Pelodiscus sinensis: one gene and its partners. The protein of the gene in region 2 interacts with the protein of the main gene of each other region in a pairwise test. Links are inferred from orthologs where the notes say so. Each region holds a gene or a part of one and is shown on either strand. Other genes may lie near its edges.

What was found. The genes of interacting proteins can lie anywhere in the genome.
Region 1: the proteins of PTN (region 2) and DNAJB11 interact in a two-hybrid assay, tested with the Homo sapiens proteins (2 studies listed by BioGRID and IntAct). The link is inferred for Pelodiscus sinensis from reciprocal best matches to the Homo sapiens genes PTN and DNAJB11.
Region 3: the proteins of PTN (region 2) and CHD3 interact in a two-hybrid assay, tested with the Homo sapiens proteins (2 studies listed by BioGRID and IntAct). The link is inferred for Pelodiscus sinensis from reciprocal best matches to the Homo sapiens genes PTN and CHD3.
Region 4: the proteins of PTN (region 2) and TAF1D interact in a two-hybrid assay, tested with the Homo sapiens proteins (2 studies listed by BioGRID and IntAct). The link is inferred for Pelodiscus sinensis from reciprocal best matches to the Homo sapiens genes PTN and TAF1D.

What each region holds. Positions count from the first base shown.
Region 1 is NC_134720.1:2,943,418-2,950,618, reverse strand, and holds the start of DNAJB11 (dnaJ homolog subfamily B member 11), read right to left. Parts: upstream 3,016-7,201; 5' UTR 2,964-3,015; coding exon 2,839-2,963; intron 1,726-2,838; coding exon 1,569-1,725; intron 89-1,568; coding exon 1-88. Other genes in the region: TBCCD1 (TBCC domain-containing protein 1), read left to right, coding at 4,397-4,747. UniProt on the Homo sapiens protein: As a co-chaperone for HSPA5 it is required for proper folding, trafficking or degradation of proteins.
Region 2 is NC_134711.1:103,329,426-103,337,414, reverse strand, and holds the start of PTN (pleiotrophin), read right to left. Parts: upstream 3,019-7,989; 5' UTR 2,579-3,018; intron 1-2,578.
Region 3 is NC_134734.1:10,543,065-10,550,795, forward strand, and holds the start of CHD3 (chromodomain-helicase-DNA-binding protein 3), read left to right. Parts: upstream 1-4,716; 5' UTR 4,717-5,388; coding exon 5,389-5,593; intron 5,594-6,224; exon of another isoform or gene 6,225-6,432; coding exon of another isoform or gene 6,433-6,505; intron 6,506-6,511; exon of another isoform or gene 6,512-7,731.
Region 4 is NC_134711.1:305,249,298-305,256,252, forward strand, and holds the start of TAF1D (TATA box-binding protein-associated factor RNA polymerase I subunit D), read right to left. Parts: upstream 3,016-6,955; 5' UTR 2,882-3,015; intron 2,355-2,881; 5' UTR 2,310-2,354; intron 1-2,309. UniProt on the Homo sapiens protein: Component of the transcription factor SL1/TIF-IB complex, which is involved in the assembly of the PIC (preinitiation complex) during RNA polymerase I-dependent transcription.

The DNA.
Region 1 (7,201 bases), on a different chromosome or scaffold from region 2:
TGTCTCCATGGGAACCCTGGTGACCATCCTTCAATCCCTCCTCGCCATAGGTATCATACTGCTTTCTCTTCTCCTCGTCTGAGAGCACCTGAGAGGGCAGAGGATGTGGGACAAGCACTAGTGAGTCAGGTTATTTAAACAAGCCTTTGAGAGGAACCCGGCCTTTACCCCAAATGAGGAATAAGAGGCAGTGGAGAGATCCAGATCACTTTTACTATGGCGGTGCTGGTCACCACTCCATAATCAGCACCAAGTCCAAGGTTGTCAGTTTAACAAGAATCTTTATTTTGCAGAAATTGGCTCTTTGGAAGTCTCTTGTCACCATATCACATGCATCTCATCGAAACAGCAAACCACCCAGACGCGCTATCATTCAACGCTGTTTCAATTACTCTTGGTGGGCTAATGGAAAAAGGATTAGCAGCGGAGTAAGAGCTCAAAAACACAGTCCTTTCGGCAGTCTGTCACACAAGTGTGTCGCTCTTCTTTGTGAATCACACGGCTACTCCCCCTAGGGATGTAGAAATCCCGTTACCCAGTAAGCAGCACCTGCTCCTTGCCCCAATCTCAGTAATACAGAAAGAGCATTTGTCCAGAGAGCCTTTTATAACCTTTCACCCTGCCTCCATCATCTCAAGTTTGAGCACCAAAGAGAAGCCACCAAAGAGGATGATCAACCTGCCATGGTGCAAACATTGGCGCTCACTTCTGGGAAAGAGAGCGAGCTGGAGAGCAGGGGTCTTGGCCATATGAAGGCAGAATAACGTCCCAAACGCAGGCAAGGTGTCACAATTAGATGTACTGATCTGCTGAGCCAAAAGTATGAGAGATGGCTGTTGAAGTTCTGCACCAGTGAGAGCGCACTGCTTAAATGGGGGCTGTTTGTGATTTCCCATCCCTGATCTAGTCTGACCTTCGTTGCACAGGTCATGGAATTTCAGCCAGTTATGAAGCCCAAATCAAGCCTATATCTTGTGGCTGAAGTGGAGCAGTCAATCAAGTTTTGGTGCTTTGAAAGAATAAGCTTTTGTTTTCCAGAGAAGAAAATGTGCTACGACAGAGGTGGCTACATCTTGAGCATCCACAGTAATCAAACTGCCTTTGGCCCCAACTACTGCAATAGCTAGCGCAAATCCAAACTAGGCATCTTCAAACTCCATTAAAAGGAAGCATTCCACACCCTCCCTTGCATGTTGCAGGGGAAACTTAACTCCAAAAATGAGATAATTGGGATCTACAAGCTGGCCCGGGGCCTCTACTAGAAACCTTAAATAGAGTGACAGCAATCAGGTTAACACAGGGCAGGCTCTTCACAATTTTTCGCTATCACTCCTCTGCCATTTCCAGTCAATAAACCTGTCTGACTTTTCACTTTTGTTGCAGCAATTCATTACCAACACTGAAATGTAATCATTGCTGACTCTCCCTGATTAACAACAGCTCCAAGGCCATCACTAGAAAACCGGTTGCACCCTCCTGCAAATGAGGAGATGGAGGAAGAGACTCCACCCAGACAGGAAAACCATGTTTGTTAGTACTCAGAGCAGATACTCTATTAACTCACTGACCTCATAGGCAGCTCCCAGATCCTGGAACTTTTCTTGCGCTCGCGGATCGTCAGGGTTGCGGTCCGGATGAAGCTGCAAAGCCAGTTTCCGATAGGCCTTTTTAATGTCTTTTACTGATGCACTGCGGGACACCCCCAGAATCTTATAGAAATCCCTCCTGAGAAATAGAGAGCAAAGTAAACATCTAGTCATGGCCTCTGCCACAAATGCACCACTTCTAACGAGACAACCACAGAACACCACCACTGCTACTGCAACTGAACAGCTCAGTAGGGTGAAGGCACCCTCCTGGAACACCTACGAGTTTCAATCAGTGCCATGACAACTATTTTAGTGGAGAAGTTGAAGCACAGACGTATTCAGTGACTGGCCCAAAACAGTGTGGAGGGTGTCCGTGTGTGTGTGGGTATGTCTACACTTGCACCCTCTTTTTGCTGGGGGCCGGGTGGGGGAGGGGCTGGGGGAGCGGTTGGGGCGGGGCGCTGCTGGGGGCCGGGTGGGGGAGGGGCTGGGGGAGCGGTTGGGGCGGGGCGCTGCTGGGGGCCGGGTGGGGGAGGGGCTGGGCGCGGCTGGGGGCCTGTGGGGGCCCGGTGGGGGAGGGGCGGGGCGCTGCTGGGGGCCCGGTGGGGGAAGGGCTGGGGGCCCGGTGGGGGAGGGGCGGGGCGCTGCTGGGGGCCCGGTGGGGGAAGGGCTGGGGGCCCGGTGGGGGCGGGGCGCTGCTGGGGGCCCGGTGGGGGCGGGGCGCTGCTGGGGGCCCGGTGGGGGAGGGACGGGGCGCTGCTGGGGGCCCGGTGGGGGAGGGACGGGGCGCTGCTGGGGGCCCGGTGGGGGCGGGACGGAGCGCTGCTCGGGGCCCGGTGGGGGCGGGACGGAGCGCTGCTCGGGGCCCGGTGGGGGCGGGGCGCTGCTGGGGGCCCGGTGGGGGCGGGGCGCTGCTGGGGGCCCGGTGGGGGCGGGGCGCTGCTCAGGGCCCGGTGGGGGAGGGGCGGGGCGCTGCTGGGGGCCCGGTGGGGGAGGGGCGGGGCGCTGCTGGGGGCCCGGTGGGGGAGGGGCGCTGCTCGGGGCCCGGTGGGGGAGGGGCGGGGCGCTGCTGGGGGCCTGCGGGGGCCCGGTGGGGGAGGGGCGCTGCTCGGGGCCCGGTGGGGGAGGGGCGCTGCTGGGGGCCCGGTGGGGGCGGGGCGCTGCTCGGGGCCCGGTGGGGGAGGGGCGCTGCTCGGGGCCCGGTGGGGGAGGGGCGGGCCGGGGGACGGCCCCGCCCGCGCTCACTCACCCGGCGCTGGCCTCGCCCAGCAGGTAGAGCAGCAGCAGGCAGAGGCGGCCGAGGGAGCGGGGGGCCATGGCCTGCGCGCGGGGGGTCTCGGGCCGGCTCCCGGAGCCCGGCGCGCCGGTAACCATAGATATGAAACGGAGCCCGGCGAAGAGAGCGGGCCAATGGGCGCGCGGCACAGCGCGCGGCCCCGGTCACACCTCGCCAATCACAGCCGCACACTTCACCAACCGCCCGGCCGGGCGGGCCAATCACAGCCCACTACATCAGCACTGCGCCTCCTGACCAATCGCTGCTATCTGCGTCACCGATACCTGGGGCCAATCACAACCCCAGGAAGGACATCCTCTCCCAGGGATCCCTCACCCGGAGAGTGCCCGGCTGAGGGCTAGCCAATCCCCGGCCGCGCGCGCCCCTCCCGGCCAATCACAGCGGGGGCGGAGGAGCGCTGTACCACTGCGACAGTGGCCTGCTCACGCAGAACAACAGTCGCGTGCTGACCCCTGTCGCTGTGGTGAGGGAGCGGCGGGGCGGGGCAGGTCTAGCTAACGTCTCGCTGGTCGCAGCCGCAGTGCGCACGTGCGGTTGCTAGGCGCTGCTGAGGGGAGAGCTGGGATTCAAACGCGGCGAGGCGCGGGGCCGGTGAGCGGGGCCTTCGCCTAGAGCTGGGGCCGCGGGGCTCTCGCCTGGGGGCGGGGCGCTGCCTCAGTGCAGGGGGAGGGGCTCTCGCCTGGGGGCGGGGCGCTGCCTCAGTGCAGGGGGAGGGGCTCTCGCCTGGGGGCGGGGCGCTGCCTCAGTGCAGGGGGAGGGGCTCTCGCCTGGGGGGCGGGGCGCTGCCTCAGTGCAGGGGGAGGGGCTGTCGCCTGGGGGCGGGGCGCTGCCTCAGTGCAGGGGGAGGGGCTCTCGCCTGGGGGGCGGGGCGCTGCCTCAGTGCAGGGGGAGGGGCTCTCGCCTGGGGGGCGGGGCGCTGCCTCAGTGCAGGGGGAGGGGCTCTCGCCTGGGGGGCGGGGCGCTGCCTCAGTGCAGGGGGAGGGGCTCTCGCCTGGGGGGGCGGGGCGCTGCCTCAGTGCAGGGGGAGGGGCTCTCGCCTGGGGGGGGCGGGCGCTGCCTCAGTGCAGGGGGAGGGGCTCTCGCCTGGGGGCGGGGCGCTGCCTCAGTGCAGGGGGAGGGGCTCTCGCCTGGGGGGGCGGGGCGCTGCCTCAGTGCAGGGGGAGGGGCTCTCGCCTGGGGGGCGGGGCGCTGCCTCAGTGCAGGGGGAGGGGTTCTTGCTGGGGGGGGCGGGGCGCTGCCTCAGTGCAGGGGGAGGGGTTCTTGCTGGGGGGGCGGGGCGCTGCCTCAGTGCAGGGGGAGGGGCTCTCGCCTGGGGGGCGGGGCGCTTCCTCAGTGCAGAGGGAGGGGTTCTTGCTGGGGGGGCGGGGCGCTGCCTCAGTGCAGGGGGAGGGGTTCTTGCTGGGGGGGCGGGGCGCTGCCTCAGTGCGGGGGGAGGGGTTCTTGCTGGGGGGGCGGGGCGCGTGGCCCGCTTGGGCGCCGTGTGCTGAGTGTGTGCGCTCCGCAGGTTGCCATGGCGCGCGTTGCCATGGAGCCGGCCGCGGTGCAGCTCTGGGTGAGGACGGAGCCCTTCCTGGTGGGGGCACTGCAGCTCCTGCCCCCGGCCAAGCTGGGCCCGCACTACCTCCGCAAGATGGCCGCTTACGCCCGGGCGCGGGCTGCCGAGGGTTGCTACCCGCGCCTCACCTGGCCCATGTGGCGCCACATCGCCTGCGGAAAGCTGCAGCTGGCCAGGGACTTGGCTTGGCTCTACTTCGAGGTCTTCGACAGCCTGGCGGAGCGGACGGCGGAGCAGCGCCTGGAGCGGGCCGAGGTGCTGTCTGGCTGTGCCTCCGACGAGGAGCTGGAGCAGCAGCGGAGCAAGGCACGAGAGACAACCCTGTGATCCTTCTCGGGGCTCACACTTGTGGGCCACGGCACAGGGCCGTAGGGTTAGCACCTTCGGCCGCCTACGCCTAGCCATTGGGTCCGAAACGTTGCACAGCCCCATCCCAGCAGCTTTTTCTCACGCTCCCCGGGGCAGCGATCGTTTTGCTGTCTGTGTATGCAGGTCACGCTACCATTCACGTGGTTAGCTTTCTGCTTGACTGGGGTTAATACCAGCCCTGCCCTTCAGAGCTGCAATGCTACCTTGCCTTTTCAAGTGGAGATCAAATGCTGTTCAGCAGAATTGCGTACGGTTGGTATAACCAACTAGGACATCTTTCTAGAGTAAAACATTTGACATACTCCCTTTCTCCCAGGATCTTGTTTAAATCTTCTGTGATGAGTTTGGTCACAGAAATCCACTTGAGCCTGTCACTTGATGTGCTGAAATACCACTGAGCCTGCCCCGTCTTACTGTGCCAGGCCGTCTGGTCTCTGTGGCAGTGGCACAGAGTTAGGGTTACAGTTCTCAACAGAGCCACACAGACACTTAGCTCACCTCTGGGAGGGGACAGAGCACCAAGGTGCACAGCCCCATTGGGACTAGAAACCCACGTAAATCAGTATTGCTTTGTATAAAGTTTTATACAGAGTAAGCTCTTAAATTTTTAACCCCCTTTATCAATGAAAGAGAAAGATGCACAGCTATTATGCTCTCTCCCCCCAGCAGGGATGTTTAATGTGTACAGTTAACATGCACAGTAACATGCAGCCCCCCTTTATCCCTTCCCCCCGGGGAGATGGCTTAAAAGCCAGCTCCCATGAGCACTGGCTCCCATAGAGCTGTCGGCTCCCTCATACTGCTGCTGCCTGTCCCCCTTGCATGTAAATGTGTAACCGTTGAAAATTTCAATGATTACATGTTTACAAAAATAAACATTTTAACATCCCTACCCCTCAGTAACAATGATTTACACCAGGGAATTAATAAATGATTTTATTAAGTATAAAAAGGAAGATTTAAGTGGTTGCAAGTAATAGCAGACAGATCAAACTAAGTTACAAAGCAACATAAAACACACCAGCTAAGTGTGGTTCTAATACTCAAAGAAACTGGTTACTTGCAGTTCTGACCCTAACAGTAGTTCTAATCATCTTTCCTCACAAGATGGGTAGCTTCAACTTGAGTTTGAGCCTTCTTAATGTCCAGTTCTAAGTGGTTGCAGCAGACCTCTGAGATGCTAAACAGGGGTGTCAAGTCTTGTGGCTGTCTCTGTTGTTTGGTTTCCTACCTATATCTCGATATTTTCAAGGCAGGAATCCCTTGTGTTCAGATCAGCCCTTTTCATTTTCTATGAAAAAGTACAGCATCCAAAATGGGTTCCTGTATCAGATGACCTGACCACTTGTCTTGGCTGGGTCAACCATGTCCCAGCAAACAGGAAAACCCAGATTATTTAGAGATCAATGCCCTGAGTACCAGGTCATTAAGTTCCTTGTGTACTTCAAATGACCTTCGCCTAGCATGTCTAGATTAGCGAACAGGTATACATGTCATATGTTAACTTCAAATACAGGAATGATACATGCACACAAATAGAATAAACACAGCTTGCAGATTACAAGCTTTCCAATGATACCTTGCAAGAATTATTTTGTAAAAAGCATATTCTATATTTCCATAAAGAATATGAAATACAGTCATACCCTTAAAAGCAGAGAAATCCCAAGTCTGATTTGTTCCTAATACACTATTGTTTTTTCACACAACATGGGCAGGTGAGCACAAAGGAGACTCCCGTAAAGGTGACCTGCAGACAAATTAAATTAGCCTAGCCCTTTTTTCCTCCTGTATGATGTGTAAAATAGACGTGAACATCTACATTTTTTTCTTTTTCACTTTATCAGGATTGTCAACTATTTCCCCCCTGGCTTTTCTGGCTGACTTGTAGGGAGAAGGGGGGAAAGAGAGGTCTCAAAATTTGTTTCTCCACAAAGGGTGGGGCCACTCAGCAAAATCATTCTTTAACATGTTAGTTAGTTTGTCTTACCAGAAAGGACTTTTAAACAGTCTGATTAAAAATCCACTCCTCTTTTTCTTGCCTCTTGCAATGTCATTTTCTAGTCATTCTAAGATTAGGCAGGATCTGAATTTGTAATGGGCCATGGGGGAAAGCAGAGGAAGGCTTTTGTCTTCCTTTGAACACAGTTTGGACTGCATTTTTTTGTAGAGAAATGACCCACCTCCACCCAAAAGGACAAGTCCAATATTTGCTCTTTGCATGTCATTGTTAAAGAACTTTTTCTATGCTTTTTGACAAACTAAACACTTTCAGTATTTGTTGATTGTGGCCCTCATGGAAGGGTCTAGAGCAGCGGTTCCCAAACTTTTCCAGATGGGGACCTGTTTTGACAATTCAGGAAGATTTGGTGACCCACGGCAATTCAAAAA
Region 2 (7,989 bases):
AAGGAACACATTCAAAAAGGCACAATGAAGATTTTCAAAAACACCTATGTGACAGCAGCCTTCAGGACTTTGGCATTTTTTAAAATGTTATCCTTTATGTCCACATGATGCAAAACTTCCCAAAATAACCTAAAATATGGTTCCTTCTACTTATCTCAAAATACCAGAGCCATATCTGAAATTCATTGCTGCTGTTGACTCGGTACATAATCAGTGTCTTCAGTCAATGCTTAACATGCATTAACTAATAATACCAGGATATGGATATAAATTAGAAATACAGACCTTAAATGGCTCTGATTATTTTACTAAATATATACAATTGTCAGATGCCGGGCAAAATACAGCTGTGGGCCAGCTCCATCTTACCAAGCTGTTAGATCCAGCCCACAGACAACATAGCGGGAGCTTCAGTGAGGATGCCTGCCCTACCCCCGCATGCCACTCAGAAAAGCCAGCAGCTGGGTCCTGTTTGTCTGGAGTTCGTGCGCTGCCCCAAACTCCAGCACAATATTGCAGCTCTCATTGGCCAGTTTCTGGACAAAAGGAGCTGCCTGCTTAAAGAACAGACAGTGGACAAAGTAAGCCTCCCTCCTTCTTTCGGGCTTGCAGCTGTTTACAGATGCACATGGCTCCACAGCCAGCTACTCTGAGCTTCCTGACAGGGCATTGAAGGCAGGGAACCTGATGAGCTGCTGGCTGGGAGTTGCCCAGGTAAATGTCTTGCAGACACAGCCTGCCTCTGGCATCCCAGCCCCTCCTTCCCTCTGCCCCCGCCCCACATAACCCAAACCTTCCCTGTCTCCTGCACCTATACCCCCTCTCAAACCTTGTACCCTAATCCCCTGCCCCAGGTCACAACCCAAACCCCTGGATCCCCTCCTACACTCCAATCTCCTGCCCTGGGTCACAAACCCCTCCTTTACCCATACTACCTCCCAGATCCCACACCTCCTTCTGCACCTCAGTCCCTTACCCCAAGCTCCCTTCTATACCCAATCTCCATCCCAGACCCCACCCCAATACTATGGAAGGGCGCACCCCTTGACTCCTTTCCAAATTCTTGGAGTGCCCCCATCAAAAATTATTGCCCACCCCGATCAAGCTAGAAGTAGTAGTTTGATAGCACCATGGAAACTGAGACAAATAAAAGCGTAGCACTGAATGGATGGAAATGAAGCTGCAGTTTACGCTTGAGGCTTCCCAGAATGCTAAGAACAGAGAATACCTTGCAAAATAAGCTCCCTGTGAACAAAGGAGAAAAGTCCAAGGAGAAAAGTTATACTCTCAGGTAGAAGTCAATAGTGTTACATTGTGTATATACATCAGTCTCACTGACAGCAGTTTGGGCCAGTTTTAAAAGTCTTACAGGAAGCAAGGAGAAGGTTCAAAACAACTGAGCAGTAACAACTCTAGAATTGATCCATCATCACCTGTTAGTTATTTTAGCAGCACTAAAGTAGGGATCAACTAGGATAAGCAGGTTAACTCCCGTGAGAGTCAAACGGGGTTAATGTGCTTATGAGAGGGTAAAGTCTGGCCCAAAGTCTCTGGGAGCCAAGTGAGAGTATTGCTGGCACCATGCAAGGGGGCATCCAGAGCAGGTTCGCCTAGGTGCAAACTGCTGGCCTGCCTTCTCAAAACACTTTCTGCCCACAGGTCACCAGGGACCCAGGCTTTTTTCTTTCACAGCGCCGGGTTAAGTTCCGCCTCCTCTCCCTTAGCTTTTCAATACAGCCACAAATCGATCCGCCAGCCTTTCCTGCCAAGTGATTAGCAAGCGGTGGCTAAATGGAGCTGTGCGCAGTTGCCTTACATCCAAGCTGAGCGCAGAGCACAGAACGGATCCATTATCCTATTAGCCCTTCGAGTAATCCTCGGCGGCTCCCCCCCCGGCCTGCACAACCCTCCAGGCAGGGGAGCGGGAGCAGCTGGGGGGATTGTCCCCTTGGAGTCAGTGAGCGCTACTGGCGGGGCTGCACTCCTCGAGGTCTCTTTTCCGCTGCAGCCGTCGAGCCCCGTGCTGGGGAGGGGGCAGGTGTCTGGCTGCGGCACGCTGCCAGTAAAGCCCCCTAGGGCCCGGGAGGAGGGGGACGGGCTCTTCTGTCCCAGAACTTCTCTGTGGGCTCCGGGCCGCCACAGCCGTGCCCGGGGGAGAGTCAACTGCGATAAGCCCGAAGTGACAGGCTCGGATGTCGGTCACTGCTACCAGGAGCAGATGGGGAGAGTAGCGGCTCCTGCCTCTACACCGGCCCTGAGAGGACCAGCCCCGCTCCCCACCGCCCCAAGCTCTGCTCTCCTCGGGGCCCCCGGAATCCGCGTGCCCCCGACCCCTCTCAGACCCCTCCCTTTGCCCCCCCGGGGAGAAGCCGCGCAGGGAATTGCCCCGCGCCCACAGCACGCGTGTCCGCGCCGCGCTCCCACTCCGCGGGGGCCAGGTGAGCCCCGCCCAGCCAGGCGCCCTCCCTGGAGCAGGACCCCTCAGGTCTGAGAGAAGCCCCGCACATACCCCTCCCCCCCCCGCGCTGTCACTGCCCCCGGGGCAGGAGAAGGCGCCAGCCGCGCCGCGGGGACTTACGCGGAGTTGCAAAGCGCCCCGGGCTGCCTGCGGTTCGGAGGGACGGTCGGACGGTGCTGGGCTGCCTGGAGCGCGGCGCCGGCCCCTCTCCTGCGGGCTGGCTCCGGTCCTGACTCGCCGCTCCCGCGGCCCCGCTCCTGCTGGGCTGGGCTCCCCACGCCTTGGGTGCTCGAGGCAGGAACTCGCCGCTCCTCGCTTGGCCTCCCTGCCCCGCCGACTGCGAGCGCGCGAGAGAAGAGGGAGAGAGGCAGGCAGAGCGCGAGCGAGCACTGTGCACTCGTGTGCGCTGCGGCTGGGGAAGCGGATTAAAAGCAGGTCACCAGAGGGGCAGGCTCGCCCACCGCGGCGGGAGGAAGGCAGGGGAACGGGAGAGGGACTAGGATTGGCGTTGCTCCGTTACTGCTCAGGAAAGGTAGCTGCAGGGTAGCCTCTGCAACGCCACGTGGCCTAGGCACTGGGGCTCTGGGCCCCAAATAGGAAGCTTTGTTCCGAAAAAGAAGCGTTACATACAAACCCTCTTCTGGTGGGGACCGTGTCTCCCAAATTCCCTTACTTGGAGATGCCCTATCAGTTCAGGGCTGGATTACCTAATAGGCAGACTAAGCACCTGCTTAGGGCACCAGCAAAGCAGGGGCACCGAAAAAAAAAGAGATTTTATTGTATAGTATTGTTTTTATTTTGAATTACATGGGGGGGGGGCACCATAATCTTTTCAGTGCTTAGGGCCTCTAAAGGTCTTAATCCAGCCCTGAGGATCATAAATGGGGTGCTGGCTCAGGAGAGCTAGTAAGTGTCTGCCAGCCTCTGAGCCAAGTTACTTATTTAAAAAATCAAATGGACTATCTTCCTGCTTGCAATGTGCACAGGTAAGAGCTCAGAGGACTAACCTGAATTCACTCACCTTTAGGGACCAGGAAGCCATAAACAACTTTCAGGAACTTCATACACAAACAATTAGGCTACGTCTACACTGGCATGATTTTCTGGAAATGCTTTTAACAGAAGTGTTTTCCGTTAAAAGCATTTTCAGAAAAGAGCATCTAGATTGGCACGGATGCTTTTCCGCAAAAGCACTTTTTGCAGAAAAGCGTCCATGCCAATCTAGATGCGCTTTTGCGCAAAAAAGCCCCGATTGCCATTTTAGTCATCGGGGCTTTTTGGCGCAGAACAGTACTGTGCTGTCTACACTGGCCCTCTTGCACAAATGATTTGTGCAAGAGGGCTTTTGCCCGAACGGGAGCAGCACAGTATTTCCGCAAGAACACTGATGATCTTTGTCATGGCTCCTTCCCCACTCTGGCATGATAAATGCAGAAGTGGGGGCCAGCAAGTGTACCCCAAAGCCTTATCTACCAGGCTTTGGTATAAAAATTCCCCCAAGATCTTAAAAACCTAGATCTTGGGAATAAAACTTCCGCTGCCACCACCCAAATGTTGATAAAGAAATCAGGGGAAAGATCATTTGGGAAATCTTACCCCTAAAATAAAAATCAAGGCACACAATTAACCACTGCCAGGTTAATAAAAAGAAAAGAAAGAACTTTTATTATTACAACAATATTCCTGTTGCAACCATAATGACTAGATAGGGAGGTAACAAAATATACTCATGGAGAAACTCCATGGGCCTAGAACTTAGTTACAAAGAAAAGCCAAAACATCTTTTAAACCGTGCCAGATCTCAGATCCCATACCCAATCCTTAAAACAATAAAACCTAACGAAACTGCCTAAACTTTACCCTACTTACAGAAAATGAAGAATGGTGTCTTGGAGAGAGAGAGAGAGACATGCTTGTCCCTCTCTGTAGCTGCAGAGAACCCTCTCAGAGAGACAAAAGGAGCTAAGAAAAAAACCAAAATTCCTGTGTCCCAGTTTGAAAAGTCCCACCTACATTCTTATTGGTCACTCCACCTGGCTAGGTGTAGTTAACCCCTTAATCCCCAGGCTGCTGGCTAACCCTCATAATCATGACAATCTTACATGAGATCGTCAGTGTTCTTGCGGAAATTCAAGTGACCAGTGCAGACAGCTGGCAAGTTTTTCCACAAAAGCAGATGATTTTGCAGAAAAACTTGCCAGTCTAGACACAGCCTTATTGTACTTTTTGGTACTATAGGCCTGATCCAAAGCCCACCTGGAAGGCAAAATGTGTCTCTTTAGTTAACTGGGCTTTGAATTCAATCTTGTGTGAATCTCTTGATGGCCCAGAATTGGGCTGAAAACATTATGAGAAAAAGATGCCTGATACTTTTAATTTCCAGCTAGACTGAAAATACCACACAACTGTTTTTCCCCCATGGAATTTCTTCACTTCTAGGTCTGCTAATTGCTGGAATTACATCAAAGCTTTCACTTTAGGGGCAGGCTTTTCCCACTTTTAGCCTCATTGCATGTGTTAAATGAGAGTGCTCTACATTGAATTAAAATATATTGGACTCATTCTAGAATCATGCATACTTTTTCTGAACCTTAGAATAAGACCATTACATTTGAGGGTTTTGGTCTTCCTTCTGCACATAATTTTGGCTCCTATTGCACATAAGTGCAAAAATCCAGTTCAGGTTCTGTTTCCATTGAAACGAGCTAAGGAAGTCCACTGTCTGGCAAAAGTGTATATTGCATCATCTAACACCTTCCACCTGTAACAATAAAAGGCATTGTGCAGTAAGTCCCAGACTGGATAATTGCACCCACCTGGATTCTCTCTGGGTGAAGTAAACTAATTCTTTCAATTTCTTCCTTTGTTTTCATCACACAGCCATAGTGGGATTTAACGATAGCAATGTCACTGAAGACAAACAACTTTGATCATCAACACAAAATAATGGATGGGTATAGATAGAACAAACAGTTCTCTCTAGATGCTGGATTAGCGAAAGAAGCCAGCATTCTGGAGTTAAATGGCCAAGACTTCTGTGAAAAATCTACTTTTGTGGAATGGAAATTCTCCAAGCCAACAATAAAGAGGAATACTTCACAACAGGCTTAGGCCCAGTCTCTGAAGTGCTTCGTCTTAGAATCAAGGCCTACTGTGCTAAGCACTGTACAAACACAGTAAGTGACATTCCTTGCCCCCAAATAACTTAGAATGTTTGACACCTTTGGCCTTAAAGGTTTCTCCATTTGAGTGTCACCAAATCTCTCTGGATGGAGAGTGAGGTTGGAGCAGCCTGGTGAGAAGGGAAGAATGCAGCAGATTGAATTTCTGACTGAAGAGAAAACTGAGACATAGCAGGTCAGAATTATTCTTCCCCAAGCAGAAAATTATTTGTTTGTTGAAAGAGAGAAAACTGAGGTTTGTAGTTTTTCAAAAAGGGAGAGAGAAATTTTCTGCAAAAACTAGCCACTTTCCATTAAAAAATGTTATATTGTCAAAACGCAATTTTCCACTGTAAGGCAGTTTTAACTAACACTTTCCCTCCAGTTACAGGAGTTCCTGATACTTCCCCAAAAACATGCTAGAGCTGAATTGGCTGAAACTGAGCACACACACTGAACCAAATTCTAATCTTGTGTGATGTGATTTGCATTAGGATTTGGAGAGGTTAAACTCAGTTGTATACAAGATTATGCATCTGTTCAAATATGGTTGAATTAGGGCCTGAAGGAACTCTGATTAAAAAGAAAAACATCTCAGTTCTGGAAAGTTAAGGAATATGTATGGTTTTATTATTACTATAACTTGTATCAAAGTAGCATCTAGAGGGTCTAAGTACAGGACTTCACTGTATAAACATAGTAAGACATTCCTGCTCCAAAGAGTCTACAATGTTTGGCATCTTAATATTAATAGGACAATGACAAGTGACTTTGTAGACTGATTCAGAGCTAGTGAGGTGGGCCTCCCAAAGAACTTACCCATGTGTACCAAACTGTCTCATCTTGCTCTATCTCATCTGAAAACCCAGTGTAGATGCTGTTGACAAAGAGGCTCAGTGCTGCCCAAAAGATGGCAGACCTGCCCTTCTGAAAGTGAAGAATCAACTGGACAGCGGACATCTAGGCTACGTCTACACTGGCATGATTTTGTGCAAGAACTCTTTTGCGGAAGAGTTTTTGTACAAAAACTGTTCCAGAAGAGAGCGTCAACACTGGCATGTGGCTTTGCGCAAGAGATGTGCTTTTGCGCAAGAACATCCTTGCCAGTGTAGACGCTCTCTTGTGCAAGAAAGCTCTGATGGCCATTTTAACCATAGGGCTTGCTTGCGCAAGTAATTCATGTTGACTGTCTACACTGGCCTCTTGCGCAAGAACAGTTGCGCAAGAGGGCTTATTCCTGAGTGGCAGCATCATAGTTCTTGCGCAAGAAGCACTGATTTCATACATTAGAATGTCAGTGTTCTTGCACAAGAACAGTGTAGACAAGCAGCAAGTTCTGACGCAAAAGCGGGTGCTTTTGCGCAAGATCACACCAATGTAGACACAGCCCTAGATTATCTTCTTGAATGATGCAGATGGGGACACGAAGACAAAGAGGTTAAGTCTGGGTAACGTGAGACAAAAATACAGGTATCTACACTGAAAGTCAGTCTTTGGTTATTAATAGTCTAGTCTAGACATACAACAAATCTAAATTTAACTAAAACGAGATCTTGCTTATAGGCTAAAGAATCCTGCTATCTCTGACTGCGTTTAAAATCTTTCCCCTTATGTCTTGTTTGTCGCTATCAGTTTTAGATTGGTTTAAAAAACACACAGAGAAAGAATGGGTAGCAGGTACGGGAGTCAAACTATTATTTTCAAGTATCCTCTTCATAGCCTGAAACAGTGTCTCTGAAAGTGAGGGAAGAGAGGTGAAGACCACTGCCTTTACAAAAGAAAAGAGCAAGGATCAAAAGAACAAATTATATAGATTTTTTTTATTGTTGATGCAAAATGATTACATGTAAATTATCTCCAATATTTACACCAGCTGGTGCTCTCAGCATTTTTTAAAGGGATGGATTTTCCTAATCAGGAAAATCAGGATTGGGAATCTTGAGTGTGCCTAAAAACAGAAGCTTTCTTGTTATTTTCTTTTAAAAGGTGTTAAGCACCCTAAGTTTGGATTTCCGTTGGAGTTGTAGGTGCTCAGTATATGTAGGGAAGGATTTCCAAAGGCACCTGTAAGAAGAGTTAGACACCTGACTCTATTACTTTCAGTGAGAATTGGGTATCTGATCTCATTAGACCCTTGAAAATTCTAGCCCTAAAACCTGAGTATGAAATATGGAAGCAATACCTTGTGCAATTTGCCCCCAGTAAGTGTTTCATTGTCATTGGTCACATCACTTAGGAGATGAATGCTGTGAATTTTGAAAACTAAACAAGGATACACATGCCAGTTAACAGGTCAGCTTGGTTTGAACTTACTTTGTTTCAGATGTACTGTAAATATCAATTTATTTCTCGCAACCTGCCAGCTCTCAG
Region 3 (7,731 bases), on a different chromosome or scaffold from region 2:
AATATTAGAAATTGTTGGAAAATATTGGAAAAATACAGCAATTGTGGACGCAAAATAGACAAAGGACGGCTATATTCTTAGATATCTGGCTACCTTTTATTCAGTACTCAAAGCACATTCATCTGCAAAACAAAACAACAACCAAAAAACTGGACACGTGTGCAAAATGTTTTGAATATTAATATTAGATAGTCATACCTGATACTTTAAATGCATATATACAGAGATTTCACTCAGTTTAACAAAGTCACTAAAAATGACATTGGTGTTATAATGGTGCTTTTTTGGTAATATGGTTGGTAACACCTTATTAAATAAAAAGACTGGATGACTATATACCTGTGTAGTGTCTCTTGAAGCAAAAGCTAACTGCCGTGATGATTATTTTGTTTCTGATATTTACACAACAAGGATTTGTAAACTTGTTAAAACTTCCTAAATAAATAATTAAAAAATAAAAATAAACTGCTGCTCTGGTCTTTCTGATGGTATTAATGCATAACATTTCTATAATGTTTTTATGGCTAGGTCCTCAGCTGATGTAAACCAGGAGAGCTTTACCTAAGTCAGTGCGAGTATACCATCTTACACCATCTCAGACGTCGACCTTTAATCTTCAGCACACCACATTACTGCCCAATTAATCTTCACCAGGAGACCAGTGTGTATTGTTACACGCAAGTGATTATCATCATTTTTGTTTCACAGAGAGGGAAATGGTTCTGCTTAAATGCCATGGTGGGGTGGGGAGGAGAACAGAAGTATTAGAGCTAGGGGTTAAAATGATGTACAGTCCATGCTCAGAAGTAAAGTGGCTTCTATCCATTTCCCCAAACCTTGACACATCTTGTAATTTTTCCATCTCACGGTATTACAACCTTCCCAAAGATTTTTTTTAATGTGCAAAATTATATATTAAAAATTATACATGTATTTAAAAAATATATAGCTATACAGTATGATACTATCATATATAATTTTGCACATTAAAAAAAATCTTTGGAAAGGTTGTAATACTTAACTAAGTTCACATTTGTAGGGTTAACATTAACATGATATTTTTGCCAGACTTAAAATCCACCCCTCTGCCAAAGGCTACCCAAGGCCTATGCCCCTGTTAAAGCCTATTGCAAGCAAGTGACTGCTCTGGTTACTACCATCTGTATATTATCCTGAGTAGCCCTACAGTTGGAATTACTTACCATAGTAAATCCTATGCCACTATGATAATAAGTAGTAAGCCAGAGTTCAGTTTCAGAAATTGTTCAGGCCCAATTGAAATTTTACTCCCTTATGCTGGGTGCTGCACAAGTGTGTAGCAGAGGAGGCAGACTCTGCCTTGAAGAGCTTACAGCCTAAATAAACCAGACTGCCACACGGAAAGATAAAGTGACTTGCCCTAAATCCTTTAGCAAATGCATGGCAGAGCTGCACATTTAATCCCTTTTCCCTGAGATCCCAACCAGTGTCTTACCTGCGAGACCATGAAGTAGTAAATGCTACATGTTTTCTAGTTCATGTTTGCAAAAATGAGCTGTGGTGAAAGCCTGGCCCTATGGAAGCCACATCCAAAACTCCCATTAATTGCACTGGAGTCAGCATTTTGCCCTCTGGTTCTTTAGGATTGAATGTGGCATTCTCCTATTGTTGTAGATCGCTACACAACTTTAACATGTTATTAAAGAGAGAGAAAAAAAGTGTTGATTTAGAAAACCAGCAGGGAAGAGGCCAAGGCTGTGACAGTAGCCTTGAAAGATTTTTCCAGTGCAAACAGAGGCAGTTCCCTTGGGGGAAGTGGAGACTGGATATGTCCGTATCGACTCTTTGATCCTCTTGCAAGACAAAATGTGATAGGCGAACCATTCTGATAAACACTACAACTTCTCTATTAGTACCATGCTATGTTTCTTCGGTGGTCTCCCTCTGACAGTTGCTGAGCTACAAAGAAACACCAAACAGAGATAGGAGACAGAGGTTAAAAAGAAAACAAAACAAAACACACAACCCACCAAACCATTCCCTGGGGAATATAAACCAGGAGCCACAAACAAGTTTAAGAAGAGTTTTTATCATTGTCATGAATTTGTGTCTTGTTCTTGGTGTGTATTTTTAACGGTATGATAATACCATATTAACCACCTTGCAAACATTAAATTAGCAGCTTGAAAAACAGATTATCAGATGCCCTTTAATTTTTCCCCCTTCCAAGCAGCTAACCAGAAGACGAAATAAGCCAAAGATCATGAAATCAACTGGAAAAAAAACTCTCCAAAACTCTTTGTCTATTGCATTTTAAAGCCAAAGAGTAAAACCTGAGTCCACCCCTTTTGCCTCCAAATTCCTCCAGAACCCTTGGCTTTTAGCACCGCCAAGGAACTGTTTCAACATGAATGAATGGGATCAGCGCCCATGCTCCTGAAAGGCTGTAGGGGGTGTTGAATTAAATATAAAAGGCACAGAGGGAAACATTTGGTTGGCAAGCAGTGTTTCCCTGCAGGCAATGGGCATATCCTATGTGGGTATTTATGACTATTCTGCAGGGGGAATGGAGCTGAGAATTAAGCAGCTAACTGAACGTTCCTAGTGATGAGCATACAAATACAAACCCTTTCCTACCAGGTTTAACACAATTAATAGACATACAGAACTGATGGCTATATTACGATTATGAAAATTATGTCTGCAGTTATAATGCTGGTAGGTAGTTTTCCCTGTGTAAAAATTGCATGATAATGGTCACCTGTCTCGGATTACTATCTTTTTTTTCCCAGATAGATTCCCCGGAAATGTGCAAGGGAGGCTGTCTACCTTGGACCAACATTGCCATGGGGGTCTTTACAGTTCAGAAGTTTTGTCTACAATGTGCTTTATTCAGAAAGTAGTGACTCAGTACTCTGGCCCTTTCTATGATCGTAGCACTTCTTTCTGGTCTTAAAATATATGAAAATTTCTCTCCTGGAACTGACAGTCATAAAGAGAGATAATAGAGGAGAAAAATTAATAATCATCACACTTTCCCTATAAAAATTGAAGATAAATTCTTTCCCACCCAATCCCAAATTGTAATTTTATTTGCTTCTTCTAGGCAGCAGAGTATTTGAAAATTGCAAAAGTTTAGAGACAGGCTGTGACGTTTCATATGCTTAATTGTTCCCAGGACTGTACCTTTGCCTTGTGGTGGGATTAGCATTTGTGCCCTCTTCTTTTATTTTAATATACAGAAAACAAAACAATTAGGGGTATAATATGCCTGAGAAGGAAAACAAAAGGGAGAAAGTTTAACAAATACAAATAGGGAACTACAGGATCTGTTAGGAGTGCCTCAATTAGGCCTTGGTCCTACAACTGAATCTGCTAGTATAGATCCATGCAGGATTGGGGTTTTTATTTTACTTGTTGCATTTTTTAATGTATGAGGATAGTCATAGAAAACCAGATGCATTTGAAAAGACGATGGAATCCGAAAAGATTGCATCCCTTCTTCCTTTAGGAGGTCTTATTTTGGAAGTGTGGGGAAAGGGCATTTGAAATACTGATATTTTCAAAGAAAAAAAATAAAACTATAGAGACTGTATCCCTTATACATTTACTTTAGGAGCTCCCTGATTTTAAGGAACACAACCAAATAGCTTACGAAAATGCAAAAAAAAAAAAAAAAAAAAGTTTGGAATTTCCCAGTTCTAGGTAGAATTTTGTACTTAGTTAAGTCTATTGCAAAACTCCTTGTCATCTCATGGGAACAGACTCTTTAATATTAATGGTCCAGTCCTGCAAACAGATTACATATATCTGTAACATTTTCAGGATCAGGCTCTGTGGAGGTGCATCCAAGTTGTAGTTAGGGCCCAAGCCCACACGTGCTTACTAAACACATTGCTATGGGGATTATGCACTGGAATAAACACTGGACAGGATCACTGAACCCCTATTTTGCCATTGATAAGGACTGTAAGCCTATGGAGTTGCAGGCGCAATGCCAGTCACAGGATCAGGACCATAGAGTTCTGTGTACCTTATACTTTTAGGAGCACCCCAATTCCATTTGCGTTTTGGAGGTGTCTGTAAAAAACCTAGATGGGTTTGGAGTGCTTGCTGTAAGTTTAAGAAAAATCTCCCCCCTCCAAAAGCAGAGCCTTAAAAGAAAAATAAAAAAGGTACAATTACATTCTGCCCCCTGATTTTATCTGGGTGACATAAAATTCAGGGGGGAAAGCTAACTATAAAGAAAGGGCGGTTTTTCTTAATAGAAAAGCGAGGGGGGGAAATCTCATTTTTGTGTGTGTATGTCTGTGTGAGAGTGTAAAACCTTCTTGAAAAACACCAAGGAAAAGACAGAGTTAAATCTGTCCCCTCGATGCACTTCACTGAATTTGGACCGAGTTTAAATTATTTTTTTTCTTGGTTCTTCCTTTCTTGCCCTAAGCCTAAAGAAAAAAAAACCCTACTCCCTTCTGAAGTATTTAAAAGTAGGAAAGGAAGGGGAAAAAAGAAGGCCCCCCTTCTCTTATCTTTCGCATGAACTAGTAAAGCAACCAAAAAAAAAATATATATATATATATGGTGTTACTAGTATGGAACTAGTTAACCTTTAACAATTTATGCTGATGTCACACTGAGCATGAGTACTGATTAATCCCAGCCTTTTCTGTCCCCCCCCCTCGTAAAAATATTTTTATTGAGGGAGGAGGGGAGAAGTATAAGAAAAAAGAAATAATTTAGAGCAGCCATCTTTGTTTTATGCAGAAATCTTTCTCTTTCAGTTCCCCCCCCCCAGTGCCAGGAATATACAAATATTGTTCATCTATGCAATGAGCTGAGAGACTCAAACAAGCAACAATAAGGAGAAAAATTAAGATAAGGGGGAGGGAATCTTTTTTGTTGTGACTGTTTTGGATTGATTTTTGAGGGGGGTTTTGGGGGATTTTTTTCTGTGAACCTCAAGGAAGAGGTGTGTATGCCGTGGGGAGGGGGGGTGACTTAAAATCAAGCCAGCCATTTTGTTTTTTTTTTAATAAAGAAAAGGGTGGGGGATTTTTCCCCCCTTTTTCCCTCCTGGGGGGGGTCTGTTTTAAAAATAATTTAAGGGCGGCCATTTTTGTTCCTTGCTCTTGTGGCAAATATTATGCTGGGCTGCCCCCTCAGAATTTAAATATATTTTAAACCTCTTTCTCTTTCCTACCCCCCATTTTTATATTTTAAAGGGGGGGAGGGGAAAAAGTTAAAAAGGAGTTTTTCCCTCTTTTTGAATCCATGGGACTTTTTCAGGCTGTTCTTTTTTGACTGAGGTGATCTGAAAGGGGGGGGAAGAGGAATTTTGTGTGTGGTGAAGGGGGGTTGTTCCCCCCTTCTCTCTCTCTCTCTGTTTCCCTGCCCCCCCCCAGCACCACCATGGCTTCCCCTCTGAGGGAGGACGAGGAAGAGGAGGAGGAGATGGTGGTGTCTGAGGTGGAGGGGGATGAAGAAGAAGAGGAGGAAGAGGAGGAGGAAGAAGGAGCAGGGGACAACAGCCCAGGCGACATATTCCCGCCTGCTGCTGCTCCACTGGCACCAGCACCAGCAGCATCCACCCCACTAGCAGCTGAGGCGCCTCCAGGTAAACAACCCTCCCCCCTTCACCCCAGAGCCGGGCGCCAAAACACCCCCCACTCTCCCTTCAACGGCTTTCGAATGTTGGCGGGGGGGAATTGTTTGTAAACAAGCAACGGTTGCGGAACGTTGAGGGGCCGAGAGTTCCGACTTCCCTCCCCCCACAGTCCCAGCCGCCGCGCGCGCTGCCCAACGGCTGCGGAACGTTGAGGGGCCGAGAGTTCGCACCCTGCCCCTCGCCCGCTGCCCAACAGCAGTGGAACGTTGAGGGGCCGAGAGTTCACCCCCGCCCTCCGTCCTCCCCCCCGCAAGCGCGCGCGCTGCCCAGAGGGGAGAGTTTCCAGCCCCCCCTGTTTCCCCTCTTTGGATCATTGACGGGCCGAGAGTTCCGACACCCCCTTTCCCCCCCCGCTCGCGCTGCCCAACGGCTTTGATAACGCTGAGGGGCCGAGAGTTCATCCTCCCCTCCCCCTTGCGCGTTGCCCAAAGGCTTTGGAACGTTAAGGTGGGGTACGAGAGTTTCTAATCCCCCTCCCCGCGCGCGCTGCCCAGTGGCTTTGGAACATTGACGGGGGGGGATTCTAGTTTCCACCCGCCGCCGCCGCCCGCGTTTCGAACGTTCAGGATGGGGGAAGGGTGCAGGCAATTGGTCTTGAAGTGTCCTCCCCAGAAGTGGGGCCCGATGCCCCTCCCTCACTTCCAATGAAGAAGGGGACCTACCCTTCCCCCCCCCGAAAGTGGGGAGGCAGCACAGAGCCCCCCCCTTAAAGTGCCCCTCTGCCTGTGAGTTGGTTCATGCCCCTCCTGGGGTAAAGGGGAGCAGAGGAGGGTTCCCCAGCCCCAGAGATGAGGGCAGCTCTATCAGTGGAGGTGGATGGGCCACCACATGGCACTCTCCCCATCCCCAGCCCCCACAGGGGTAAGCAGGGCTGATCTGGACAGGGTTTCTGGGATGGTGGGTGCTTGGTGCAAGGGTGTGTGATCTTGGCAACTGGTGGGCAGAATGGGGCATGCTGGGCGTTGGCAGGAGTGTTTGGTGCCCTGGTGGACAGGCTGTGATGTATTGGAGGTTAGCAGGAGTGTGGGGTGGTTGCCTGATAGGCAATATTGGGCCTTCAGGACATTGGCAGGAGAGGGGGTACTTGGTGCCCACTGGGCAGGACAGGGCCTGCTAGTGGGAGTGGGGGATGCTGGGTTCTGGTAGGAGTGGGGGGGGGGGTTGGCCATCTGGTATCTGGTGGGCAGGATGGGGCCCTGTGCTTAGTTGGCAGATATGGAGGACACCTGGCAGGCAGGACAGGCCACATGGGTCATTGGTGGGGAGGGAACCTCGAGGAACCAGCCACCTGGGAGAGGGCTTGATGCCCTGTGTGATCAGTTGGGGAGGGGGCTTGGGAACCTGTAGGGTTTGGCCTGCTGGTATTGAGGTGATAGGTGGCTTTTGGCCCTCTGATTAGTGGTACTTTCTTGGGGATGGGACCCCGGGGGAGTAGATAGCAAATAGGGCTCCACACCCTACTTGACTTGTGCCTTACAGGATGGGCCCCCTTAGCAGTGGTGCAGTGAAGAGGGATGGGCTCTCTGCAGGGGGAGGGCATGTCAGTAGTGCAGATGACTCTGCTGTCCACAGGACGTGGCCATGTTGGTTACCTAGACCTGGGCATGGCTGTGTCTTGTGGGGTGGGGGTCAGTAACTAGCTTATGTGGAGAAGAGTTGGCACCCCTCTGAATAGAGTTGCATCACCTGAGATGGGATGGGGCCCGTTACTCTCAGCAGAAATGGTTGGGTCAGGACTACATTGTCATAGCGGGAGCAGAGGGTGATATGAGGATAGGGGTAGTCAGTTGTGGTGGGAGTGGAATGGGTCAGGGCCATGTTGGCTGTGGCAAGAGCGGAGGGTGATTTGAGGACAGGATTAATTGAAAGCAAGGAGTGGCTGGGTCAGGGCCAGGTTGTGGCGGGAGCGGAGGGTGACTTGAGACCACGGTTAATCGGAAGCAGGGGAATGGGTGAGTCAGGGCTAGGGTTCCCTGTAAGCTATGCGCTTGGACAGCCACCCAGAGAGATTCAAATACTGCCCAGCTGATTAGCAGAGTGCCCACAGCCAGCAGCATGTGTTTCCACTGGTGATGTACTTTAACAAA
Region 4 (6,955 bases), about 200 Mb from region 2:
CATTTTATTTTGATTACAAATATTTGCAAAATGAGCCCTGTACACTTTGAATTCTGTTCTAATTGAAGTCTGACAATGTAGAAATATCCAAAAATATGGAGCAGCTGGTTCTGGAACCCTCAAAAGGAGAGGTTCTTGATTTAGTCCTAAGTGGAGCACGGGATCTGGTCCAAGTAGTAAATATAACGGGTCCGTTTGAAAATAGTGACAATGTAATAAAATTTTACTTCCCTGTGGAGGGAAAAACAACACAGCAGCCCAACACCGAGGCATTTAATTTCAGAAAGGAAAACTACACAAAAATGAGGAGGTTAAATAGAAACTAAAAGGTACACCGCCAAAAGTAAAATCCCTGCAATCTGCACGGAAACTTTTCAAAGACCCTAAAATAGAGACCTAACTTAAATGTATACCCCAAAAAATAAAAACACAGTAAGAAAAAAAAAGTACCACTGTGGCTTAACCAAGTAAAAGAAGCAGCAAGAGATAAAGAGGCATTGTTTAAAAAGTAGAAGTTAAATCCTAGTGAGAAAGATAGTAAGGAGCATAGACTCTGTCAAATTAAGTGTAAAAATATTATAAGAAAAGCCAAAAAAGTATGAAGAACAGCTAGCCAAAAAAACTCAAAGTAACAACCAAATATTTTTTAAGAAAATCAGGAAGCCTGCTAAAGAACCAGTCGGGCCGCTGGATGATTGAAATGCTAAAGGAGCACTCAAAGTTGATAAGGTCATTACGGAGGAAACTAAACTAATTCTTGGCTTTGGTCTTCACAGCTGAGGATGTTAGAGAGATTTCCAAACCTGAACCATTCTTTCTGGTGACAAATCTGAGGAATTGTCCCAGACTGAGATGTCATTAGAGGTGGTTTTGGAATAAACTGATAAACTTAAGTCAGTGAGACCAGATGGAATTCACCCAACAGTTTGTAACCTATCCTTAAATCATCTTCTGTACCTAATGACTAGACGATAACTAATTTGATGCCAATATTTAAAAAGGGCTCTAGAGGCGATCCTGGCAATCTCAGACGAGTAAATTTAATGTCAGAACTGGGCAAATCAGTTCAAACTATAGGAAAGAATAGAATTGTCAGACACGTAGATGAACGTAATTTGTTGGGGGGAAAAGTCAACATTATTTTTGTAAAGGGAAATCATGCCTTACTAATTGACTAGAGTTCTTTGAGGGGATCAACAAGAATGTGGACAAGGGGGATCCAGTGGATATGGTGTACTTATTTCCAGAAAGCCTTTGACATGGTCCCTCACAAAAGGCTTGTAAGTAAAGTAAGTTGTCATGGGATGAGAGAGCAGGTCCTCATGGACTGATAACTAGTTAAAAGACAGGAAACAAAGGGTAGGAATAAATGGTCAGTTTTCAGAATGGACAGAGATAACTAGTGGTGTCCCCCATATGTTAGTACTGGGACCAATCCTATTTAACCTATTTATAAATCATCTGGAGAAAGGAGTAAACAGGTGGCTAAATTTGCAGAGGACACAAAACTGCTCAAGATAATTAAAAGTAAAGTAGATGGTTCAGCAACAAAATGGCAAATGAAATTTAATATTGATGAATGCAAAGTAACACACACTGGAAAAATAAACTAAACATACAAAATGATGGGGACAAATTTAGCTATAAGCACTCGAGAGAGATCTTGGGAGTCATTATGGATAGTTCTCTGAAAACATCCACTCAACATGCAGCGTCAGTCAAAAAAAAAAAAAAAAAAACCCAGAACATAAGGAATCATTAAAAAAAGGGACTGAGAATATTTTTATTGCCTCTGTATAAATCAGCGTACACCCATATAAGTCAGCGTACACCCATATCTTGAATACTGTGTGCAGATGCGGTCGCCTTATCTAAAAAAAGATGTATTGGCAAACATTGGAAAGAGTTCAGAAAGGGGCAATAAAAATTATAAGTAGTATGGAAAACCTGTCAAATGACTGTTTTTGTTCACTCTCCCTGGAGCATTTGGCATTGGAAACTCTGAGAAGTCAGGATACTGGGCTAGATGGACCTTTGATCTGACCCAGTATAGCCATGCTTATATATGCCCTCATTAATAGTATAACTGATTCTGATTTGTTTTTTTTAATTGCTTGACAGCCCTATTTATCACAAAAGCCACTAAACCTGCCACTCTACATTGGCCTTTTTGACTCTGAGGTCACTAGTGGACAAGGAGTGCAAGGTAGTTAGGGCAGGTAGGAAGGCATGGAGGGGAGCACTCCCAAACGTTTGTTACAGACTAGCAGCCACACACAGCTTTACCCCATGACTCCGCCTCCACCTACCTCTCCGTCTCCTCTCAGGATCAGGGCTCAAAGGACAAGCAGACTCTGCAAATGGAGGGACGTGGAGGAGTTAGCGCCTTGCCTTCCCGTCAAGCGGGCTTCACACAGAGCCGGCCCAAGCCATTCTTGCAACCTCAGCTCCAGGCGCGCGGCGCATGCGCGGCCCGCCTCGGGCGCGCGCGGCTCATTCTTGCAAACTCAGGCCCAGGCGCGCGGCGCATGCGCGGCCCCGCCCGGCCGCACCGCGTGGCGCCCCATAGAATCGGGCGCCCGGGCCTATCGCCCAGTCAGCCCCTAGCTTGGGCCGGCTCTCGCTTCAGACAGAGCAGCCCCTCAACAGAGGGCGCCAGGCGCCCGGCACGGCCGCCCCTAGCCCCGGGCACACGCATAAAGCTTTCAAGGGGAGAGGGGATCCAGGGCGGCGGCACCGCGCCAAGCCAAACGGGACGTCCCACGCCCGCCTGCCGCCGCAACAGCACCAGGGAGCCGGGCACGGCTGGGCGAATCTGCGGGGAGCTCCCTGCCCCGTAGCCACTGCAAAGGCCCCGCCGCAACCCTGCTACCAACCTCACCTGCCCGCCGCGCACCAGCCTCCGTCGTTTCAAAGGGCTCCTTCCGGTCACTGGGTCCGGGTCCATGTCGTCACATCCGCTGTAGCTCCAATCGCTAGCCAGTGGCTAAGGAAAACGCGCGAAGTCACCTCTCGCGGGTTTAGGACAGATAACTTACAATACGCATGCGCTTGGGAGGTGAGTCGCTGGATCAATTCATGGCTATGATTGGGCGCGAGCCAATGAGAAGGTTTGCAGGTGGGAACGCCCCTATGGTGGCATCGCCGTGCCTATTGGCCAATGGTAACTAAGACGGGCCGTGATTGGCCGGTGTAGTGTCAGGGGCTGGTAGCTGTAGGAATTAGCTGCGTGCGCTAGTTACTTACGCAGTGTCTGTGGGAGGGGAGATAAAAACGCGCCTCTGGACTGCGGGCGGGAAGGAAGCGCCATTTTGTGTGGGGCTAGGAGGGGGACTAGTACTGGGAGCTCGCTCGCAGGGGAGAGCCTTGGCGGTCAGGGCCGGCTCTTTGTTTTTTTCCACCCCAAGCAAAAAACTGTTTGGCCGACCCCTCTTTTTTCTTGGCTTTTCCACGTTTGCACTTTGCAATTTTTTGACTGTTTAAAATTTTTTTTAAATGAAAACAGAAAATTTGTAGTTAGTGAAATAAAACAATTTCTTGCTAGTGTACTCATTTAATTTTAACATTATTGCAATTACCCAAACCAAACTGATAGACTGCAGAGGGAGGTCCCAAAGCCATGCTTACAGAAAATGGGCTAATAAGGAGAAGGCCTGTGGCACCTTTTAGACTAACAGATTTATTAGAGTACAAGTTTTTGTGGCTAAAAGACCCACTTTTGCCCATGAATGTGTAAGCAGGGGCTGAACTGCTGCTTGCTGTCAGCCAGCTGAAAGGAGGGGTGGGTGTGCCCACTACAGTTGTTTAGCTCTACAAGGTAATTAACTGTTAACTGTTGACATGTAAATACTGCTCAGGAGAGAATCCAAGGTGTGGCTATGTAAATTCCATTCAGCCAGGGCTGATGGAGGGTCAGTGTTGGAATGGAATGTGGAGAATTGTATATAATTTGGGACTGTTGTGGGGGTCACTAATCATGCTACCCCTAAATGTGGGAACTGTAAAACATGCCACCAGTGCTTGCAGGAGAGACACCACCATCATGGTAAGAGGTCTCGGAAGAACAAGCCTCCCCCCTTCCAGAGTTGAGTGGACAGAGCTGGGGGAAAGGGTTAAAGGACTTGTGTCAGCCTGCTTCACACCTACCAGGTGTGAGCTATAAGACTGGCCCAGCCTGCACCTTTCCCCCTTTGTTTTAAGGACAGACCTAAAGCAGACTCCCTGAGGAGTCTTTTTGTTTGCTAGTCCAGTGAAAGCTGGATTCATTTGAGAGCTGAAATCACTGGTTTGGCTGAGAGTTGAAATCACTAAGCTGAAATCACTGGTTTGGCTGAGAGCCAGACCTACTGCAACCAGTAGAGTGGCAGCAGGCGAGGAGCGGCGACTAGCGGCGTGGCGTGGCGCGGCGGCAGGCGAAGAGCAGCCATCAGTGGCGTGGCGCGGCGGCAGGCGAGGAGCGGCCATTAGCGGCGTGGCATGGAGCGGCGGCAGGCGAGGAGCGGCGACCAGTGGCGTGGCGTGGAGCGGCAGCAGGCGAGAAGTGGCGACAGGTGCCCAGCGGAGCGTCCAGAGGTGTGGGACGAGACAGCTGGTGAAGCGTAGCGGAGTTTTCGTATAAGGTGCCCCCTATCTATCTCCCCACCCCCATTTCTACCCAGGTTGGGAGGTGAAACCCTGCGGGTGAACTTTGGGGCTCTGGGTGGCACAGAGACTTGTGGGGACAGAGACTTTTGGGGAGTCGGTGGACTTCGGGCGAATCTTGGCCGGGGTGGGGGCTCATGTTTGGGTTATGAACTCTGTTTGTGGTGTTTTCCCCAAGCTAATGCCGTATGAATTCTTCCTCTGTTTCATTAAATGTTCTTTTCCTACACTCAGACTCAGTGCTTGCGAGTGGGGAAGCATTGCCTCTCAGAGGCGCCCAGGGGTGCGTGAATTTCCCAGATCACTGGGTGGGGGCTCGAGCCGGTTCTTTGTGAGATTGACCCCAAGATATTGAACCCAGCCCTGGTTCCTGCCAGGCCTACCCGGCAGAAGGGCTACAAATGCTTGTGCTCTAATAAATCTGTTAGTTTATAAGGTGCCAGAGGATTTCTGGTTGTTTATGCAGATTCAGATGAACAGGGCTACCCTTCTCATTCTAAGGGTACGTCTAGACTACATGCCTCTGGTGGTGGGATGTAATAGTATAGTCCAGTGGTTTCCAGTCTTTTAAAGGATGAGATCACTTTTTGAATTGAAGTGCAATCCAGGATCTACCTCAAACCCAAATACTTTTGTCCCGCCTCCTTCATTCCCCTTCTCCAAGGCCCTGCTCCAGCTCCCTCCCTCCCCCATTATTCCTCCCTTTTATCAGGCAGGGGCAGAGAGTTGGGGTGCAGGCATTGATCATATGGATTTGGAGTGTGAAAAGGACTCTGAGCTGAGGCAGGGGATGGGGTGTAGGAGAGGGTACGTGACTGGGAGAGGGATTCAGGATGTAGGCTCCAGCTGGAAACTGCTTACCACAGGTGGCTCCTGTGTGGTGTTGCAATGGGGCTAAAGGCAGGCTCACCCCTGCCTGGCCCCGCACCATTCTCAAAAGCAGCCAGAAAATTCTGTCCATCCCAAACCCTTCTGTGCCCTCCACATCCATTCGCTGGAGATAGAATACACAGGGTGGGAAAAGAAAAAAGCTCGAAGGCAAAGAGCAGGAGGTGCTCAGCAGTGGGGGGAGGGGCAGCTGAAGTGCTGCACTTGACAGCCTCATGGCCAAACAAGTCGAGATCACCTGTCAGAGGCTCCAAGGTTGGTGACCACTGGTATAGTCAATTAACCGATAAGCAAAAGCTTATCGGTTAATGCTATAGACTACATGCATTTCCCTCTCCCTGCTAGTAAATTTTTTAACAGGCTGGCCAGCAGCCTGGCTCAGTCCTGGCTTGCCATGGGTCTAGGACCTATCCCCATTTCAGCTCTGCATTTCAAGTGTATTAAGAGCTAGATCGGGAGGCAGCTCAGTTCTGGCTCACACCGGTCCAGAAGCTGAGACCCATGCTGCTGCCTCTTTCTCAGAAGCAGCAGCACAGGGCAACAGGCAGCCGGTCTGTGAGGGGATCTGTTTTTTAAACTGGCTCCCTTTGCAGACCAGCTCCCACCTGGCACCCAGCACTGCTGGCCCTGCCCCAGGGGACTATAAAATAGTCAACTAACCGATAAAATTTCAGGAGGTTACTCTACTATTCAATTAACAGATTTTTAACATCCCTATATTGTGGATAATGGTAGAAATGTAGCCGTGTTAGTCTGGTGTAGCTGAAACAAAATACAGGTCTATGTAGCACTTTAAAGACTAACAAGATGGTTTATTAGATGATGAGCTTATTAGATGATGGTTTATTAGATGATGAGTGGGTCTGGCCCACGAAAGCTCATCATCTAATAAACCATCTTGTTAGTCTTAAAGTGCTACATAGACCTGTATATTGTGGATAGTTATCTGACAATATCTACTCAACGTGCAGCAGCAGTCAAAAATCTAACAATGTTGGAAATCATTAGGAAAGGGATAAATAATAAGACAGAAGATAACTCATCACCTCTATATAAATCCATGGAATGCCTACACTTGAATACTGTTATGGAAATGTGGTCATTCTGACTTAGTAAAAAAGGAAATACTGGAAGTGGAAAAGGTACAGAAAAGGGCAACAAAAATGATTAGGGTTTGCAACAGCTTCTCTATGAGGAGAGATTAATAAGACTGGGAGTTTTTAGTTTAGAAAAGATGATTAAGGGGATATGATAAAGATGTATTGAATCACAGCTGGTATGGAGAAAGTAAATAAGGAAATGTTATTTACTCCTTCCCATAACACAAGCACACAAGCAGTTATTTCGACATCTTATCTTATTATACTTTCAAAAGGATTTTCCTGCGGGACAACAGAGTGAAGTCATCCCGCATGCCCGGCTCCCC